Linked DNA regions of Mus musculus: regions 2, 3 and 4 are each reported to be linked to region 1. The links are microRNA targets in miRTarBase. Many come from high-throughput screens and were not tested one by one. Region 1 holds a microRNA gene; each other region holds the end of a gene's coding sequence.

The links. The annotated mature microRNA mmu-miR-149-5p reads UCUGGCUCCGUGUCUUCACUCCC and lies in region 1 at 1,844-1,866, opposite strand. An mRNA with a match to its seed (bases 2 to 7 or 8) in the 3' UTR can be bound and repressed. Matches are read on the target gene's strand: a 7mer-m8 pairs with bases 2 to 8, a 7mer-A1 pairs with bases 2 to 7 and ends in A, and an 8mer does both.
Region 2: the mRNA of Sertad2 is a reported target of mmu-miR-149-5p. Seed matches in the 3' UTR shown: 7mer-A1 at 2,589-2,595, 7mer-A1 at 2,358-2,364 and 7mer-m8 at 492-498.
Region 3: the mRNA of Adcy1 is a reported target of mmu-miR-149-5p. Seed matches in the 3' UTR shown: 7mer-A1 at 1,586-1,592, 7mer-m8 at 2,722-2,728, 8mer at 2,989-2,996 and 7mer-m8 at 3,742-3,748.
Region 4: the mRNA of Nfix is a reported target of mmu-miR-149-5p. Seed matches in the 3' UTR shown: 8mer at 695-702.

The regions. Positions count from the first base shown.
Region 1 is chr1:92,847,786-92,852,246 of GRCm38, reverse strand. Mir149 (microRNA 149) reads right to left here and starts at 1,869; the gene lies at 1,804-1,869. The region is part of intron 1 of Gpc1 (glypican 1); the gene reads right to left. It overlaps Gm29480 (predicted gene 29480), which reads left to right and starts at 3,450. Exons shown (of 4, transcript NR_166170.1): 1 at 3,450-3,546.
Region 2 is chr11:20,647,738-20,652,198 of GRCm38, reverse strand. Sertad2 (SERTA domain containing 2) reads right to left here. Exons shown (of 2, transcript NM_001038625.1): 2 at 1-4,397. The coding sequence starts at 4,393. The coding sequence ends at 3,464. Among named protein-coding and RNA genes, the nearest start is that of Sertad2, 18 kb to the right of the region's middle.
Region 3 is chr11:7,168,818-7,173,278 of GRCm38, forward strand. It overlaps Adcy1 (adenylate cyclase 1), which reads left to right. Exons shown (of 20, transcript NM_009622.2): 20 at 596-4,461. The coding sequence ends at 898. Among named protein-coding and RNA genes, the nearest start is that of Ccdc201, 18 kb to the right of the region's middle.
Region 4 is chr8:84,705,037-84,709,497 of GRCm38, forward strand. It overlaps Nfix (nuclear factor I/X), which reads right to left. Exons shown (of 11, transcript NM_001371053.1): 11 at 1-3,641. The coding sequence ends at 3,627. Among named protein-coding and RNA genes, the nearest start is that of Lyl1, 5.8 kb to the left of the region's middle.

The DNA of each region.
Region 1 (4,461 bases):
GGTCTGAGAAGAGGGAGCGGTCAGCAGGGATTCTAGAAGCTTCCCTCGTGCAGGAATGCTGATTTTGATGTTATGGGGAGCCAGTGAAATGCAGAGTTTCCAGAGCCCAGAGTAGGTGCCAGGGCTGGTACCTGGGCTTTATCCTTGCTGACGGGTTGATGGGAAAGGTGGGATGTGAAGAACTCCAGGATGTGATACTGCAGGCTGCCATCAGAGGTGGGGGACTGAGCCAGAGGGGAGTGGACATCTTGTCAAGAAGCATGTGGGGGCAGGAACCTGTGACCTCAGGATGAGGCCATTATGTGTTAGGCCCCATTTCTATGAACCCCCCTCCCCTGAAGCCAACTGGGAGTGGAGATCTCTGACTAAGGAGAGATTCTGAGGTTGCATTCACCCTTAAGAGCTTGTTACATGATCACATCCTTGTCTTTAGCACTTAGTAAGCACAAGCATTTATGTGTGCTGGATGGTGTGTGTGTGTGTGTGTGTGTGTGTGTGTGTGTGTGTGTGCATATTGCAGAGTGGAACTGTGTACAGCCTCTGTGATTTTGACCTGACATGGAAGGTATATATCCCCAGATGCCACCCCTCCATCCCTAGGTAGGGCAACCTTCAGATCTGCTCTTCCAGGTCTCAGGTTGAGGGCCTGGCCTAGCCCTTCTCCTGCTTACTAAGGCATGGGAGCTGTGCTTCATCCCAGAACCCTGGGGACTTTTGGCCTCACAGGCTGAGTCCCACCTGGTTTCAGGGTCCCCAAAGGTCCACAGAGCAGGGCAGTGGCTGACAGCTGGTAGAAGAACAGAAGGAATTGTATTCTGATTCAAGGGTGCTTGGGGGAGTCAAGAGAAAAGGGAGTCAGAGATGGGAGGTGCACACGGAATGCCCCTCCCACCACTCCCCTACCTGGTACCCTCTGCTCCTACCACACTGCTTCCTCCTGCCCAGGGCACCTGCCTTTCACAGGGACTGCAGGTCCTGGGAAGCAACATGTTATTAAGCACCCAACCTCAAGAAAGGGCTGGGTTGGTGCCCAGACAGCTGGGAGCTGCAAGCCTAGGTCCTGCCACTTGATCTGCATCCATTGATTGATTCCCTTCCTTCTAGAGTAGGGAGGGCTAAGCAGAGATTATCCACCCGCAAGCAGGCTACAGGCACAACAAGGTACAGGGCCCAGCAGGGCCTTCTATTTGCTCTGCTCCGGGCCATGGTCTGCTGGGCTGAGGTGATATGCCACATCTCTCTCTTTGAGTGGTGGGGTTTAAGGGTTTTTCTGTTAGAGGAGGAATCATGGGGGGCACTGTAGAGGATGACCCATCTCTGACTTCAGCAGTGAGTGGGGAAACAGCTATGGGGATGGAGGCTGCAGGTATCAGGATGGGGCCATCCTGGGCTCAGCTGGGACAGAGGCACTCTGTGTGTGTAGGCCAAAGGTTTTAGGTGGAAATATTGAGGACCAGGCTGCACAACAGAGCACTGGCAAGAGAGAGGTGGGCACAGCCTTACTGGCCCCTCCCATGGTTTCTGCTCCTCTGACATCCTTCTCCATCTTAGTGGTCCCAATTGCCACCCCTCACCACATAGACAGAAGAACGAAGCTGAAACAGGAAGAAGTTAATTAAGGACACACACTCAGAAACAGAAACTCGCCCCACTCCACGGCAGGTTCTGGATAAATGGGACCCATGAGACTTTTGGCCAGCTACTATGAGCATACCCCATCCAATGGCCTCCCCTGCAGCCCCCTGGCTCTGCCTGGCCACCTCACCCAGCCAGCCCGGTGACCTGCGCTGTTCCAGTTGCCCCAGCACCGCCCCCGTCCCTCCCTCCCTCCTCGGACAAACACGGGAGTGAAGACACGGAGCCAGAGCCTGGGCACTGGCCTGAGGGCCCCGGGCAGGCTGGGTCAGGCTGCCCAGAAGCCCATGCATTGGCAGACCTGCTTGCTGAGGGTCAAAGATAGAGGAGCTGAGACCCAGCCCAACTGGAACCATAGGTGCTCAACATCAGAACAGCTAAGGCAGGCTCTGCAAAGCTCTCTACACTTCCAGGAAAGCACTGGAGTACATACCCATCGTAGGAACGTCTCTCCGTTCTACCCTACCAGCAGCTTCCTCCTTGCCAGCCCTGAAGGTGGGTGGGAGTGGAGCGGCAGTATTGTTCCCCACTGACCCCGCCCATCTCTCTCAGAGTTGGTTTCATTTTTCCAGATCTTTCCCTCCTGGGTTTTTGGGGGGCACTACCCTCCCCTGGCACTCACAGGTTTTATTTGGGGAAGGGGGTTGTTTGTTAATGGCAGGTTTTCCCCACTTTAGTCCCTTTTCTAAGCCTTGTCCCCAACCCCAAAGCCTCTCAAATTCCAAGACCCCTGCTTCTTGTGACACTTAGCATGGCACCCCATTGCAGCAAACCCATGGGCAGCAACTGCTCATTTACCTCCTCCCAAATCTGGCTGCTTGCACCCCACCCCCGGCCCCCCACTATTCTCCAGAGCAGACAGCAGCTTGTGGCTTCCTACCTTTCAGGGTCACACCCTCCTGCCACCTGCTGACAGCTCCAGCTCCTGCTCCTCCCTCACAGAGGCAGCATCCCTCTTGGTCATCATCCACAGTCACCCCAGGACTTTAGCAGAGTCCAGCATCCTGATGCTACCCACAGACATCTCTGACCTGACCTCCCCTGACACTTCAGGGACCCAATGCCTTGAAACCCTCCACCTTCTGAAGATAATGCAGAGTCATGCTACCCCGCCTCTGGTCCATTCTTCTAGAAGCTTCCTGTGCTCACGGGGGAGATGCAGAGTGGAAAGCCCACTTCCCTCACGGCCCCTAAAACACTCCAGCTGGCACGGCTTGGGGGAGTGTAGGGGCATTCGGAGTATAATCTCTCAGCACCGCAGATAAGGGAGAGGCACAGGCTACACTCCCCTCCCCAGCTGCTGGCTCCTAGAGCAGGCCTTTCTGTTGACTGGTAGGTTAGAAGTAAACCAGCCCTCTGTGCTCCTGGGTTTTCCAGCCCCAGAGGCTGAGAGTCTCCAGGACGTGACAGCCTGGAGCAAATGGCCCAGCTTTCTGGGGGACTACTCACTGCCCAGGCTCCAGGGGCATTTTCCCATTGCTTGCTCCTGTTCCCCAACAAACCTGTCTAGTCCCCGGGGGTCACACCCGAAGGAAGACATTTCAACTCCATCTCTGAAATTGGAAAAGCATCAAGCACAATCCCCTCCCCGCCCCCACCTCACTCCCAATACTTTTCCACCCTCCTGGATGCCTTCATGATTCCCGAGCCCCTGCCTCCGGTTCACCCAAATGGCAACATCACCAAGAAGAACCTCCATCACGAACAGGGACCCCCTAACTGGGGGGCATCGGCTGCTGGCACTTCTATGGACTCGATGGGAGGGGTCATCTCCGGGCAGGCAAGGGCTCCTGCCAGCTGCCTCTCCAGCATCAGGCCAGGCCCTGGGCGAACAAAGCCTGGGCGACACCTGCAGCTCCGACCGACCGCTGCCTCCTCTGCAACGGGGATGGTTCTGTACAGCTGGAGCCGGTAAGATAAGCCGGAGCTGCAGATGCAGGCGCCTGCTCTGGCGCCGCAGTGAGGAGGGGGCGCTGGTGCAGTGGGCGCGGCTGGTGCGGAGAGCTGAGTGCTGCGGCAGGCAGAGGGGGGCATTTGGAGGGGGGCTGCGGAAAGCGGGAGATGGAGGGAGAGGAGAGAGGGCGATGTGATTGGCGGGGAAGGGGCTTGCCGCAGTGGGCGCGGCGGCAGAAAAAGGAGGGAGAAAAGCGAGCGCCATGGCTGTGGCGGCGGGGGCGGGGTGAAAGGGGGGATGGGTTCAGTAGAGGAAGGGGGACTTACTGCGGAAAGGGGGCTGCGGCAGCCTGAGGGGTGCAGGGGGAGGGATGGGGTAGAGAGGAATATCTAGGATGGTGCAGCACAACTTTAGGGAGATGGGGATGGGATGGAGGTGGGAGCTGAGAGACATGAGTGGACATCAGGGCTGATGACCAAGCTCTTGATGGGAAGGGGATGAGACAGAGATAGGCTGTAGTGGGGGTACAGCTGCGAGAGAATGGAACTGAAGATGAGAGGTGAATGCATGGAGGAGGGGGGATGCAGACAGGAATGGTGATAGAGATGGTGCCTAGCAGACGTAGCCTGGTAGCTTAGCGGACACCCTCCTGGCCTTAGAACCCCCTTCTCCATGGCCGCTCCAATAGTGTCCCCAGCTGTGGATGCACTCCGGATAGCAAGGGCGATTCCAGCGCCAGTGAAGTGGTCTGGCAATTGCAGAGCAGCAGAACTCAGCAGGAAAGGCCAAGATGAGGCTAGGGGTCTCGGCGTGGTGTGGTGGATCCCACAACCTAGGGCAGCAGGGCAGTGGCAGTCTCACTGATGCACAAGGCTGAAGGCAGCTTCCTGGGACGCACCTCCTCCCGCAACCTTCACTGGCACATTCAGCAC
Region 2 (4,461 bases), not on the chromosome of region 1:
TTGGTATGAAGGTGGGTGCCTATGTGTTGCCCTTCTGTCATCAAGAGAAAGTGCTACTAAGAAAACTTTAAAAAATTATCAACTCTTTTATGCTTGATTTTTTTAAAAATTTGGAGGTATTAAAACATTCCTCATCCATACCTTTTTGCATATTTTAAATAGACCCATATTGGAGATGAGAGTTAAAAATGAATGTGGACTGTATCTGATGAAGAGACAGGTGGGGGCTGGCTTGGCTCCCCCTTTTAATACACACAGATCTACATCCCTACAAGAAATACATTCCTACCATACATTCTGCACCATACCACCAGGATGTTATTAGAGTGCCACAATAAAATAAATATATTTACACAGAAAAAAAAAAAGAATAAATAACTTATGGGGAAAACCATCCCTTTAAGTCTCTCAGGATTCTGCTCTCACCTTGTCACGTCATTGCACGTCATTGTCAACAAGCTTGTCAGGCCCAGGCACCCCAGGCTGTCTGCCTGGCTCGGATGCCACAAGACTGTCTTTGTGAAGGTGAGCCACTACTGCCAGGAAGCGTCTAGAAGCACATTCCCCCACTCAAACTGGGACTGGGAGCTCTCACTCTGGTTCCAAACTCTTCCCTGTTGGGACATGGCTTAGTATAAATAGGACACAAAGACAGTCTTAACTCTTGGTGGGCTTGCTCTTCCTGAAAACAGGGCCATTGGCTTCCCATGGATGTTTCAGGAATTAGCACTCTGCCTGCCGGTGTTGGGGGTGGGTGTTTTGATTTTGAAGCCCAGCCTTACAAATGCACTAGAGTTTGAGAACCAAGTTTGGGCAATGCTTCTCTGTGCTTATTTGAACTGTTGCCCAACATATGGGATTGTTTAAACACATGATTTGCTAATCCAACAAAAGTACAGTTGTTCTAAGTTACTGTAAATCAGTTTTTGACAATGGCAATCAACTGCTTTGTGCCATTTTTGCTGGGAATCATCAACACTACTGTATATGCACATGTATGCAGATGTGTGTGGCATGTGGCCAGTTCACAGGATCCTCCAGTTCTAAAACACACAGAGTACGGGCAGACCTGCTCTCTACAAGACAGACAAGTTCTTAAGATGGACAGGCACAGAGACACTTGCAAGTGTGCATGACAACCTCCCCTACGTGTGGTCCCTGCCCTACAAGAAAGGAGACACACGCGTGAAGGGGCTGGTGAAAGGCTGGAGGTGCCTGTAGGAGCACAGCTGGATCAGCCTCCCGCTGCTCCAGAGCTGACAGTCAGCCTGTCAGACACATTCCAGTGAAGAAAAGGTAAAAAGATATTAATCGCACCATCCACAAATCTTCTGCTTGGATGAGCAGTTCCTTCATCACAAATGCATTTGCTTGCCATGTGCATTATAAAAATAAATCTATTTATGGCTTGTTTTAAAGTGCCATTTATAAAATTTATCTTTTTAATTGGCCAGAAAGGCCCATTTTATCCATGGCAAGAAGTGAGCAGAGTTGGTTGGTGACTGTATATTGACAAATGACCAACAAAGACAACCAAAAACAAAAACAAAATCCCATAATTTAAGTTTTTTTAAATAAATATAAAAGTTATTTCTAAAGAAGCCATATAGGTTGTAACCTGCACTCAACAGCTCAAATACCACACTGCAAGAGCGAGCCATGAAACAGAAAGGCGGTTTCAGCAACAGGCCTGATACACTAAAACAAACGACTGCATCTCATGAGTGCACGTGTTGGGGGGATCACTAAAGAAAGAGCCGCTGGAGGGGCTAGCACATGGGGGTAGGGGAAGGCCAGAGACGTGCATAGAAATTCCTCTCTATGTATTTGGGAATAACAGCTTTGTAAAGTGTAGTTAAATTAGCAGTTAATTAAGGAAAGCAACCAGATTGGACACCATGACATAAGGCGGTGGACTGCGGCTCTAGTCACAGATGTCAGGAGAGCGAGCGAGCGCGTCCCGGCTGGCGGAGGTGCGCAGAGCTAGCTCACTGTGCTGATCAGAAAGATGCCATTTGCAGCTCTTAGCAACAGAGGGAACAAAAGCTCCAGGGAAAGGACATGGGAGAGGCAGCTCAGCAACACGATGGATGCCTTCTGGGGAACTAAGTACTGAAGTGGGGCTCACCTCCAGCAAAAGGTCAGTTGCTTGTTGTAAAATTTTGTTGTGTAAAATTGTGGTCTCGTCATAAAAGCTATGCCAAAAGACAAAGACTGGGGTTTTCATTTCAAAAATTTAAAATAAAAACAATTAAAATAGCAACTTGGCATAAATACAGTTTTGTTTTGTTTTTTATCCCCCTGTTCCCCCTCCCTCCCCACCCCCACCTTGAGACAGGGTTTTCTCACTGTATAGTTCTGGCTGGACTGGAACTCACAAAAATCTGCCTGCCCCTGCCTCCCAAATGCTGGAATTACAGGGGTGTGCCACCACACCCTGCTGAGTCCACTCTTAAATAAGATGATGCAGCCTCTGTTCAAAAGAGGGAGCTAAGGAGCCTGCCACATCAACTCCGCCCTCCCTACCCCAAGAAACACAGCCATCTCCCCGCCAACTGCTTAATGCATGTTTGATGAGCAGACAGGGCTCTGGCTTTGGAAGTCACAGTGCTGGCGGGTGACCGTGCCAGGGGCTGGTGCTTGTGAAATTTGGGTGTCAGATCACCTGGCCCTTTATGAAAGCGCTGTGTGTATTTGCAGTGGGGACATCAACTGCAGACTGACGTGATCCAGTTCTCTCTTGCACCACACACATATAAAACATTACAAGTCCTATAAAAGTACAAGTGCAACTTGTACATCTCATGTTTGCAGGAACTATGTGAGCAAATCCTATCAAAATAGCTATTTCATAGGTATAAACAGCATTTGTGTTTAGAAAAACAATATCATAAACTGCAGAATCTGTACAAAAATATAAAATAAATTTGGGCAGCAGTTTTCTAAACAGCCATGTAAATGCAACACTTACGAGTAGTTAATGCCTCTAAAAAGGCTGAATTGCCAAGTCAACTTACACAGGGCAAAACGCCAGAAAAGGTACTGAGATTATCCAAATAATATAGATATATATTCTTTTTTTTTTTTACCTCTTGCAATAAAACTTATAGAAAAAATAGACAAATATGCACATGCAATTTACAGCTTTTCCAACTTAATCCTTGTGCTTCACTTGAACTGTTCCTGTTCACCTTTCAACATTAGCAACACAGTCTTCAAATGTCTTCTCTCCTACGCCAGGGCAGCAGGGCTCTGAGGAACCCACTCAGAAGAGTGTGTTACAAGTGGGCATACTCGAATGAAGGCACTCCAACTCTGCTTGAAGAAAATACTAGTGTGATCCTTTTGTAAAATTTTCTTTTTCTCTGAAAAAGGCAAGCAAGGGTCCATGCACAGTGCGGAGAAACTGTCGGGGCTGCAAGGGTGCAGAGCCTGGCTGGGCGCAGTCACGTGGGCCCAGGTCTCAGGAGCCAACAAGCACCTCCATGATGTGGTCCAGCTCCGTGAGATCCATTTTGAAAGGCTGACTTGGGGCAACAGGCTGATTGCTGTAAGGAGCCAGGGTCTTGAGGAGGTCATCAGCTGACACAGGGGCCATCTTTGAGGCTGTCCCCGATGCAGATGTGCAGGGGTCAAAATCGTACATGGATGTATCAATGTCAGCAAACAAGATGTCATCCAGGGTCAAGTCTGTCAGGAAACCCGTGGACGTTGTTATTTCAAAATTCCCAGGCAGAGAGTCCATGAATCGTGAGTCATCTGTGCGGCCTTCCTCGGGCCCCTCAGGTTTCTGGACACTGGACTCACTGGAGGTTCCTTTCGGGCCCTCAGGGGCTGCTGTGTGGGCAGCCTCTGTGGAGGTAGATGTGGGACAGAGCTCCTCGATCTCATCCAAGGCGGAGGAGAAGCTGTCCTTCTCTGCTGGGAGGGCTGCAGAAGAGAGTCTAGTGGGAGCTGCAGGGTGCACAGCCTGCAAAGTGCAAAAAGTGTCATCGTTGTCGTCCTCGAGCAGGGAGGCAGGGGTGAGGCAGGCCTCCAAGGGTGTAGTGCTTCCGAGGTCACAGGGGTGAGGAGCAGGAGGCGGGGCCTCCTGGTAGCTGTCGCTCAGTGAGTTGCTCGGCTGGGAAGAGGGGGTGAATGCAGGCCTCAGGCTGCCTTCCTGCTTGAGTTCCTCCTGGATCCGCCTCAACATGTTGTTAATTAAGACAGTCTTCTGCAAGCTGGGCTCTGTCAGAGGCCTGTGGTTATACAGTTTCATAAGGGAAATGTTGAAGATAGTCTGGCGCTGTAAGGTGTAAGACACCCTGGATGGACCGTCGGAGGGGGACACGATTTTGCCTTCCAGCCCATCTTCATGCTCATCAAACTTCCGTTTTCCTCCTTTACCCAACATATATCTACAAAGGAGAAAGACAGAAAGTAGCATGAATCACATGAAGGCAAATTTCCACCGTGAAGATT
Region 3 (4,461 bases), not on the chromosome of region 1:
GGAGACAAGGAGGTGTAGAGCCCCATGCCCCCTTGCTGGCTTAGGACTGTGCCATAGATCAGGGATATTTCACACTTCATCTTGTCTCTGGTGTGGGGAGGCAGAGATTCGTGGAGCCAGTATACTTACTGATCTGAAGCTTGAGAAAAGAGGAGCTAAGAGATGCCCATTTTCTTCTAGCTTTTTTGGCTTCTGTATGCTTATGACCTCCTACCAAAGGCTCTATTCAGTAGCTGTGCTCCATTCCCAGAAACTAAGGGTGCCATTCCCAGCACCAGACTACCTTGCTGAGGTATCTATATCCCTGATCCAGAGAGCCTGTCCATCTACCTTTAACATTGGGGCTAGTCCCACACAGCCCCTAACTGGGTGCACTAAGCAGTCACAATGGCTCACCCAAGCTGTGCTGGGTCTCTAGCCCCAGCTGTCCCCACTTGCCCATATATGAAGTAGCGTTGTCCAAATATCACCAGGATTAGGCAGCTGTGGTGGAAAGTGAGGTGCAGGGTCAAAGGTCACTGGGGAGCTCCTACCCTCCAGAAGACCCCCTCATTATCCATGACTAAGAGTAATGCTGACTTCTTTCCCCTGGTAGGTGACTGAGGAAGTCCACCGGCTGCTGAAGAGGTGCTCATACCAGTTTGTGTGCAGAGGCAAAGTCAGCGTGAAGGGCAAGGGAGAGATGCTAACGTACTTTCTAGAAGGCAGGACTGATGGAAACAGTTCCCACGGCAGGACCTTTCGCTTGGAACGAAGGATGTGTCCTTATGGGAGAGGCGGAGGCCAGGCCAGACGGCCCCCACTGTGTCCCGCGGCTGGACCCCCAGTCAGACCAGGGCTCCCTCCAGCCCCCACTAGCCAGTACCTGTCATCCACAGCAGCAGGGAAGGAAGCCTAGTGGAGCCCATGGGCCACTGGAGATGCATGCAAGGCAAGAATGCTCCAGGGTGTCACAAGCCACCATGGCTCTAGCCAGGACCAGACAGAGGAGCCAAGTGGCTGGGCTGGAGGAGAAGCATTGTCTGAGTGTGGCCTGAGGCCAATGGGAAATGTGCCCAAGCCACCCCTTGGGGCACACTGAGCTCTGTCTCTTCCTAATGACCTGGTTATGCCTGGCTAGTGTTGCCATAGGTGGCGGGACCTTGGGAGTATCTTCCATGGTCACAGCAAAAGCTATGGAGGTCAAGCTGGCAGAGGAGCCCACCATGACTGAGCCCCAAGTCAACTGGCTTATGGGTGGCTCCAGCCCTGGTAAGCCCTGGCTTATGGGTGGCTCTAGCCCTGGTAGGTCCTGGCTTATGGGTGGCTCCAGCCCTGGTAAGCCCTGGCTTATGGATGGCTCTAGCCCTGGTAGGTCCTGGCTTATGGGTAACTCCAAGCCTGGGTAGCAGTTTCAAGTATGAGTGCCAGACTGGGAAGTTGGCCCCGCTGGGCAGGGCCATGACAGTTGAGCTGTTCATACCATGGGCACAGCAAAGAGCTGGTCAGGTCTTGGTCAGGGCAGTATGGGAAGAATTGAAAAGACACCTCTTACTGCATGAAGAGCGGGGTTGCTGGCTTTCCCCAAGAGTAGGCTCTTGCTAACAGCCAGAGGCAGGTCTTCTGGAATTCTCGGGAGGCCCTACAGCCCCACTTCTGATCTCCTGGCCCGTACATTCTCTTCCAACCCCTCCTGGCTGCTGGCTTCTGACTGCTGCGACAGTGGGCCCTCCTCTTCCTGTGCCATGGCTGCACATTCAGAGAGGAGGGGTGTGTGCTGTCTTCTCTGTGGTGTCTTGGACGCTGTAAGTCTAACAAGAATCAAGCCTTCGTTTATGCTAAGAGCGATTGACCCACTATACCCACGAGTGCTCTCCTTGCTGGAAGACATCCTCTCCTTGGCCTAACCAGCTCTCCTCTTGGTGGTTTCAGAGTCGGCACAGTGTGCATTCCTGAGTCTAGGTGTGGTGTCCCTGCTCCAGGGTGATGGGAAAGAGTGGCCCTGTTGACTGACACCTGGGACCTCCCACCTGTGTGTCCCAGTAACTGCAACTGTGAGGAAATCCCGTTAGGGTACAGGATTCTGGAGGAGTTGGTAGGAAGCAACTGGCTGGAAATAGCGGGATGAAGCCTGGCTTTTGAAGATACTCAGTTTCAATACAGGAAGGGAGGCAGCTTGAAGCAGGGCAGGTGGGCATAAGCCCTGCCTGATCTTGTCTGTGGAGGCCCATTTCCTCACGGCTCCCCAAGAGCTTGCCCCCTTCCAAGGGTCCTATCTTCTTAGAATAGGGCAGAGCAAAGCCTAGTTTTCCCCGGCAGGGTGCATATGTGGTGTTCTGGATTCAGCTCTGGTTCAAGTGTGTGGCTTTGTTGGTGCCTGGGTAATTTTCCAGGTCAGCCAGCGCCCGTTCCTGGGACACTCAGCTGAGTCTAGACTCAGGTTACCTGTGGGTAGGAAGAAAACTTTCAGCAAGGGAGAGCTGGAGGCTGCATGCCAAGTCTCCAAGTCTTTGAGGCTGCACCTCAGGTGCCCTAGGGCCGGGTGGGGCAGCTGTGAAGATTGCACATTCTCTGTGGCCAGGGATGGAGCTTGTGGGTGGTGGTAAGGGTATCATCTAGCACCTTCTGCAGAGGAACTCTGACCCATGCCCACCCTGCTTTGTTGCCTTTCTGATGATATCAGGTAGCACGGCCTGGGCATTGTCGGCTGCCTTTCTGTCAGCCCACTGTGGCTAGAACCCAGAGCCAGGGCCAGACTGACTTCAGCACTCCACTGCAGCCTTCAGGGTTGGAGAGCAGGTAGCTTCATCGTCCTCCGGTGGTCATGTCTGGTTCCTGAGGCGTGGTATTTTGTTGTAACAGTGTTGGGGGAGAATGCTGGCTCCCAGAGAGTTGAGGGCAGCAGGACAGGCTTTTGGTTTCTCCCATGGCCCTGAAGACCATCTTAAGATTGCACTTATAAGAAAGATTCAGGTTGTTGGGGCGCTCTGAGAAGGGGCAGATTCCTCTGAGCCAGAACCTAGGTAGGCATGCGAGCACTCTTTCTTTGTGGCTCCTGCCTCCTGCCCGTCCCCAGGTGTTCCTATCCTTGGGACAAATGGCTTTTCCTCATGGGGCTCTTTTGCACTAGGAATTTCTCACCTCGTCTGTCTGTCTTGCAGTCAGCTCAGCCAGGAGCACCCAGAGCAAGTGAGTATATGGTGACTTTGGCTGAGGGCTGTGGCACTGTCCCTGGCCTTCCAGGCCACTGAGGAGGGTAGAGAACCTCTCACACAGCCTGGAGTTCCTCAGAGTGGCTTCTAGGCACCCAGAACTAGTGCCTCTCTGGCTGATCAGATGAGGGACAGAAGAGTGGTTCTCAAAGATGCCCACATGACAGCCCCAGGTCCTGTGTGTCCTTTGCCACAGTGGAGGACCTTGACAAGGGGACTTAGGGTAGGTAGGCCTGAAGGATTGAGAAAGGATTGAGAAAGTCTACACCAATGGGTTTAGTGTGGACACAGGGCCCCTCAGAAGTGGACAGAAAGATGCCCAGGACTGAGTCTCTGTTGCTGACCTGAAGATGAGGACATGAAATACATTGAAGAGACTTAGGAGGACAGCACAGCTCCAGCCAGCAAAGAAGCCAGGATGTCACGCACGCCCATAACCACAAGGAGCTGAAACTGGCCAAAGCCTGAGTATACAGCAGGCAGACCATCAGAGCCATGAGGGAGGAGGCCAGCCAGTGGCCCCTGGATCTGACCTATATGACGCTGAGCAGAGCCAGCCTAGGTCGATAACACTGCAATCACGCATGCGTGTGTCAAACCGAGGCCACATGGGTGCATGGGCAGAGCCACCCAAGGTGTGGTCAGAGTGAGAGAAAGCAACCTTTAGGATGACACTGCCTTCTCTGGGCACAGGACTGTTCTGAAGCAGACCACACAGGAGCCTTGGCTGGGTCTCTTCTTCAGGGGCGACATCTCCATCATCAGCAATTCCAAACCCGCCTACTTCCTGTGAGGTCAGGAACCACACGTGCAGCCATAATGTACCTTGGGGTTTGGTGATAAACAACCTTCTTTTTACTTGTGATAAAAATGTATTATATTGCCTTATTTATTTTTAATCTTGTACAATATTCATGTACAAATGTTAGAGCCATTTAGGTAGGATTCTCTCCAAATTATTTATTTTAAGATGCTCTGTAAATAGTGCACCAGTTACAGGTGCTTGATCACTTGTACCAAAAATGAGGAAAAGCCTGGTACCCACTTCAGCCCCTCTTGTAATGCCGTGGCCCTTGGGAAATGACCCTGTTGTGTTCCCTTCCCGCCCCTAGCATGCCTCCCGTGCCTGACACCATAGAATAGAACACAGCCCCAGAATGCTTCCAAATGCTTCCATGGGCTGTGCCATCCTGGGACAGTCCACTCCTGGGGTGTCCATACCTACAGGTGTATGTCCCCCCCACACACAGCAATCCAGTTGTTTCTCAGA
Region 4 (4,461 bases), not on the chromosome of region 1:
CCAAATCCATTAGTACTATATATATATAGAGATACTCGTATATACTGCGTTTCTTAGCCTAAGAAGAAACTTGTTTGACGGGACGGGCGGCCTTTGCGGTCCGCGATGCTGGTGCTGATGGGGCGCACGGATCTCCCAAGAGGGGCCAAAGCAGGGGTTGGCCCCAGCTGGCTTGCGCAGAGTGGGACGCCCCGAGGGTGGATGGGGTGGGAGGGAGCAGAGGTGGGGCTGGGGTGCCCCTAGGGCTCTCGATTGGGGGACAAAGTTCTCATAACTTTATTGCTCCTTTTTTTTTTCTCTCGTGGGGGGTCCGTTCAGTACGGTCGGGTTGGGGGAAACGGTGGGTCGTCTGAGCCACCCGGCCCCTCTGGGACCCAGAGCGCGGCGTCCGCTCCGCCAGCACGGGGGTGAGAACAAGGCACTAGGTCGGCCGGCCAGCGCGGGGGCGGGTGTGTAAGGCAGTCGACAGGGCTGGTTGCGGGGTAGGGTGGGGGTGTGTGCCGGGCTATGTGCGTGCGTGCGTGCGGGCGCGGGCCTGGGCAAATCGACCTGTCAGCGTGGCTGGACCTGTCCTGGAGCATCGAACCTCCCGGAGGGAGGGGGAATAGTGGTGTTACGTGGGAAGGGGTCGGGGAGGAAACTACCAACTTGCTGAGCGCGCTCCTGATTAATGCTGGTGAGGGTCAAGTTGGCGTCTGGCTCAAAGAAGGGCGCTCGGAGTGGGGAGGGAGGGAAAAGGGACGTTTGTTCGTTGGCATTGACCTCTGCGGGGGAGGGGGCCGGGGACCCCCGCCGCGCCCCAGTGCCCGGAGGGGGAGGGGGCGAGGAAGGGGGGAGCGCCTGGGGAGACCCGCGGCCAGAGCAGCCCAGCCGCGGGGCGCACGCCGCTGTCCCGTTCCGTTAAACTCAACAAAGAAGGGATATGCGTGTTCCTAACAAGTGCAGAGTATTTAATTGATTCATAAACGTATGTATAATAGTTTGTGGGTTTTTAAAAACGTACTTTATAATGTAATAAGCACCAGGGTTTTTATGTTTAATTATCTTAAAAATAATTTTCTCTCGTCCTTTTCCTTTTGATCTTGTGTTGGTTTTTTTTTTTTAATGTCGAGGTGTTTTTAAACGTTTTCTTCAGCCCTCCCACCGAAACCGAACGACGAAACAAATTTAAACCCCAGATTATCCTCGTCAACGCAGGAAAAAAGGCAAAACAAAAAAAAAAAAACAAAAAAAAAACCAACCAACCAAACCAACAAACAAAAACCCAGAAAACTATCAAAAAGGAAAACAAACAAAAAAAAAAACAAAAAAAAGGAAAACACTCAGCTTTCATCCCCGCTAAGGGCAGGGCAGGCCCAGTTCTTTTAGCGTCCCCAGAGCCGCGAGGACATTACAACAAAAATAGAATTTTTTTTCTTAATCTCTTAACATACAAAGATAGGAAAACTCTCTGATGCATTGCACTTGGTTCAATAAAAAAAAAAAGGTTAATTTCCCCTATATTTTTTTGTGGGTTGTTTCCTCTCCTAAACACGTCCCCACATCTGTCGCCCTCATCGTCCCTGCCTGCCTGCCCCTCACACCACCACTTGGGAAAGGAGCACCACCCCCACCCCAGTCCTCCCGAGGGTACCTCTCTCGGGCACCTTGGGCCCCGGCCCAGCTGGCCTGCAGCTTCTGACCTCGCCCGGGGCGTGTGCCCCGCAATCCCACAGCGCCCACAGCCCGACTGTCCTCGACCGACCGAAGAGGCGCACGCGGCCGGGCAGGGACCCTCTTTCGCTAGCTCTTAGCTCTGACCCTGTTTAGCCAACCGAACTGAAAAATCATTGCACTTTGACCGCGCGTCACGCCCGGCCCGCCCGGCCCCCCACCCTGGGGCTCCCTCCCCTCGCACAGGGAGGCCTCCCCCCGCTGGACGTCCACCCCGGCCTGGCCCTCGACGCCGCAGGGGAGGGCTTCGCTCAACTTCCACACAGAACGCAGGGACAGCCGCCTCGCAGCCCCGAGCTCCCTGCTAGCGGCCATTCTCCTGTTCAGGGCCGCAGCCTCACCAACTAGATTCTCAATAAATAAAGCCCACAACCCACCCCCACGTGGTGCAATGTTGGACCGACTTTCGGAAGATCCTGACCTGTGCTTTGTGTTTTCATACCGGAGAGAGGCGCATGGCCTTGAGAACGGGCCTGGGAGGGGAGATGCAGGGAAGGAGGACTAAGGCACAGAAAGACAAGCCAGAGGGGCCCAGTCACCCTGCAGGGGGTCTGGCGTGCTCGCGTTCCCCTCCCTCCCAGGGGGCTTCTCAAGACCCTCTGGACAAGCCTCCGCCATCCCTTACTGGAGGAGGGGGCTGGGAGGAGAACTGCTTCCTGTGGTGTGTTACGAAATTGTTCCCAAGTTGCTCAAACAGAGGAGTTCCCAACTGCAAACAGCGAAAGACCCAAACAATGACTGCCCCACCCCTAAATAAAGAGGAAAGACATTACAGCTAAAATCTAGGGAGAAGTGGCCACGGGGCGTGGTGGGAAGGGAAGGGGACCAGAAAGCTCCAGAACACTCTTTTAAAAGGATGACACCCCCCACCCTCCACAGGAACTCAAAGTCTCGAGAGCAGGACGCCTACCTAGCGCAGGTGGAGGCTGCCTTGTCCTCCTCGCTCAGCTCCGGGGGCCCTTTCTGCTCCACTCTCAGCCGGCCCCTGGAGGGCTGTGTGCAGCAAGGGCAGGGGCAGGGCAGAGGGGCGGAGCAAGGGCACCTGCATGCAGGGCTGGGGTGCGGGGCGACCTGGGGCCGACTCCCTTCACTAGGGGCGTGGCAGAGGGCAGCAGCCCTTGCGTCCTGCGGGCGTGGAAGAAGGTGCCTATGCTGGGCTGGGCGTCCAGTCCAGAGCATTCTGACTTTCCTGTGTGCTGTACAGAGGGTGTCCAGCCCGAGAACTGCCCGGGCGGTTCAAAATGGGGTGGCAGAACACCCTCTATTCTGGACTCAGGCTGAATTCAGTTAGCTCTAAGAAGCATCCCTTACCTACCCGGGAACGCCCTAGCCTGGTCCAGAGCAGCTGGGGCCAGAAGCCTGAGCAGAGGCTCCCAGGAAGGGCAAGAGAGGTTGGGGAGTGGGGGGTGGGGTGAGGGAAAGAGACGAAGTCCGGAGGGGAGCTCGAATGTCTACTATTGTTACGAGCTGTTCCTCTGGGCTCCTTGGGAAGCTTAAGTCCAGCGGAGGGTGGGGTCCCCAGGAACTGCCAGGGTGGCCGGCCAGTGAGCTGGCTGCTCCTTCCTGGGAAGGCCAGGCTGAGTAGGAGGAAGGCAGTCTTGTTGCATCCTTTCTTTCTGTTTGTCCTCTGCTTAGCAGAGTCCGCTTAGCATGCTTCTTTCTGCTTGGCTGCTGGTGTACAGCTCCGCTGAGACCCCTTTCCGAGGACTCCCAGAACTGGGCGGCTTTGGAACGCGGGGGTACCAGGGCTGGAGGAGGGAAGGGCTGAGTGGCTGACGACGTCTAAGTTTTGCTTTTCGGTGGGGCTGGGCTGGGGGATATTTCCATGTCTCAAAATTTCTTCTCCCCCATTTTGAGGAACCTCTTTTTTTTTTTTCCTTTTTTAAATTTAGTTGTTTCTTTGTTGATCTTAATCAGAGGAACCAGGACTGTAATGGGATCAGGAAAAAAAAAAAGCGACCGTGAGAACAGCTGGGGCAGGTCCCAACTCCCATTTCATCCCGCCCCCCCACCCCATGATCTCCAACCTCTACAGTGAGCTCCCGGGAGAGGGGCCAGGGTGCTGAGCATCAGACCCCAATGGAGGAAGCCAAATCATTCTCTCCACCCTCTGAGGGAATCCCCCCCAGACCCCAGTGCAAGAGTCCAGCTGGCCTTCCCGTGGGCACGGTGCCCAGCGGGTGGGACCCCCATGGCTGGCACTGGCACAGACCTGGGATCTGGCCATGTTTGCAATTGTTTAGGTTTTTGTGTGGAACCTGGAAGGTGGGGAGGATGCCAGGCTGGGGCTTTTGTACCCACAGGGGTTGGGGGAGTAGGGTGGGGGTGGCCCAGCTTGAGTTCTTGCTGAGTTTTCTTTCTGTCCCTTTGGATTAAAAGCAGAAATTCACGTCTGTACATCCCAGCCAACGTCCTGTCCCTCAGGCTGAAAGACTTGGGGGCAGGGAACCACATGGCTTCAGCTCTACTAGGGCCAGGACTGGGGGAGGGGGCCAGAGCCCACCCACCCTGACCGGTCGTGGGCCTTTTGGGCACCAGACTGGGGAAGGAGCTTTCTGAAGCACACTACGGTGGATATTGCTTCCCCCAGGGAAGCCAGCAGGGGGCGCTGCCTTCCCGTATATAGGGCCCTGCTGGCAGTGAACACACAGTATACACAGGGTGAACCCCTGGGGCTGGCTGCTTGGCAACGCCCTCCATCAAAGGCTTGAGTCTGGTTTCCAGTCCAAGAGTGAGTGGAGGACTCTT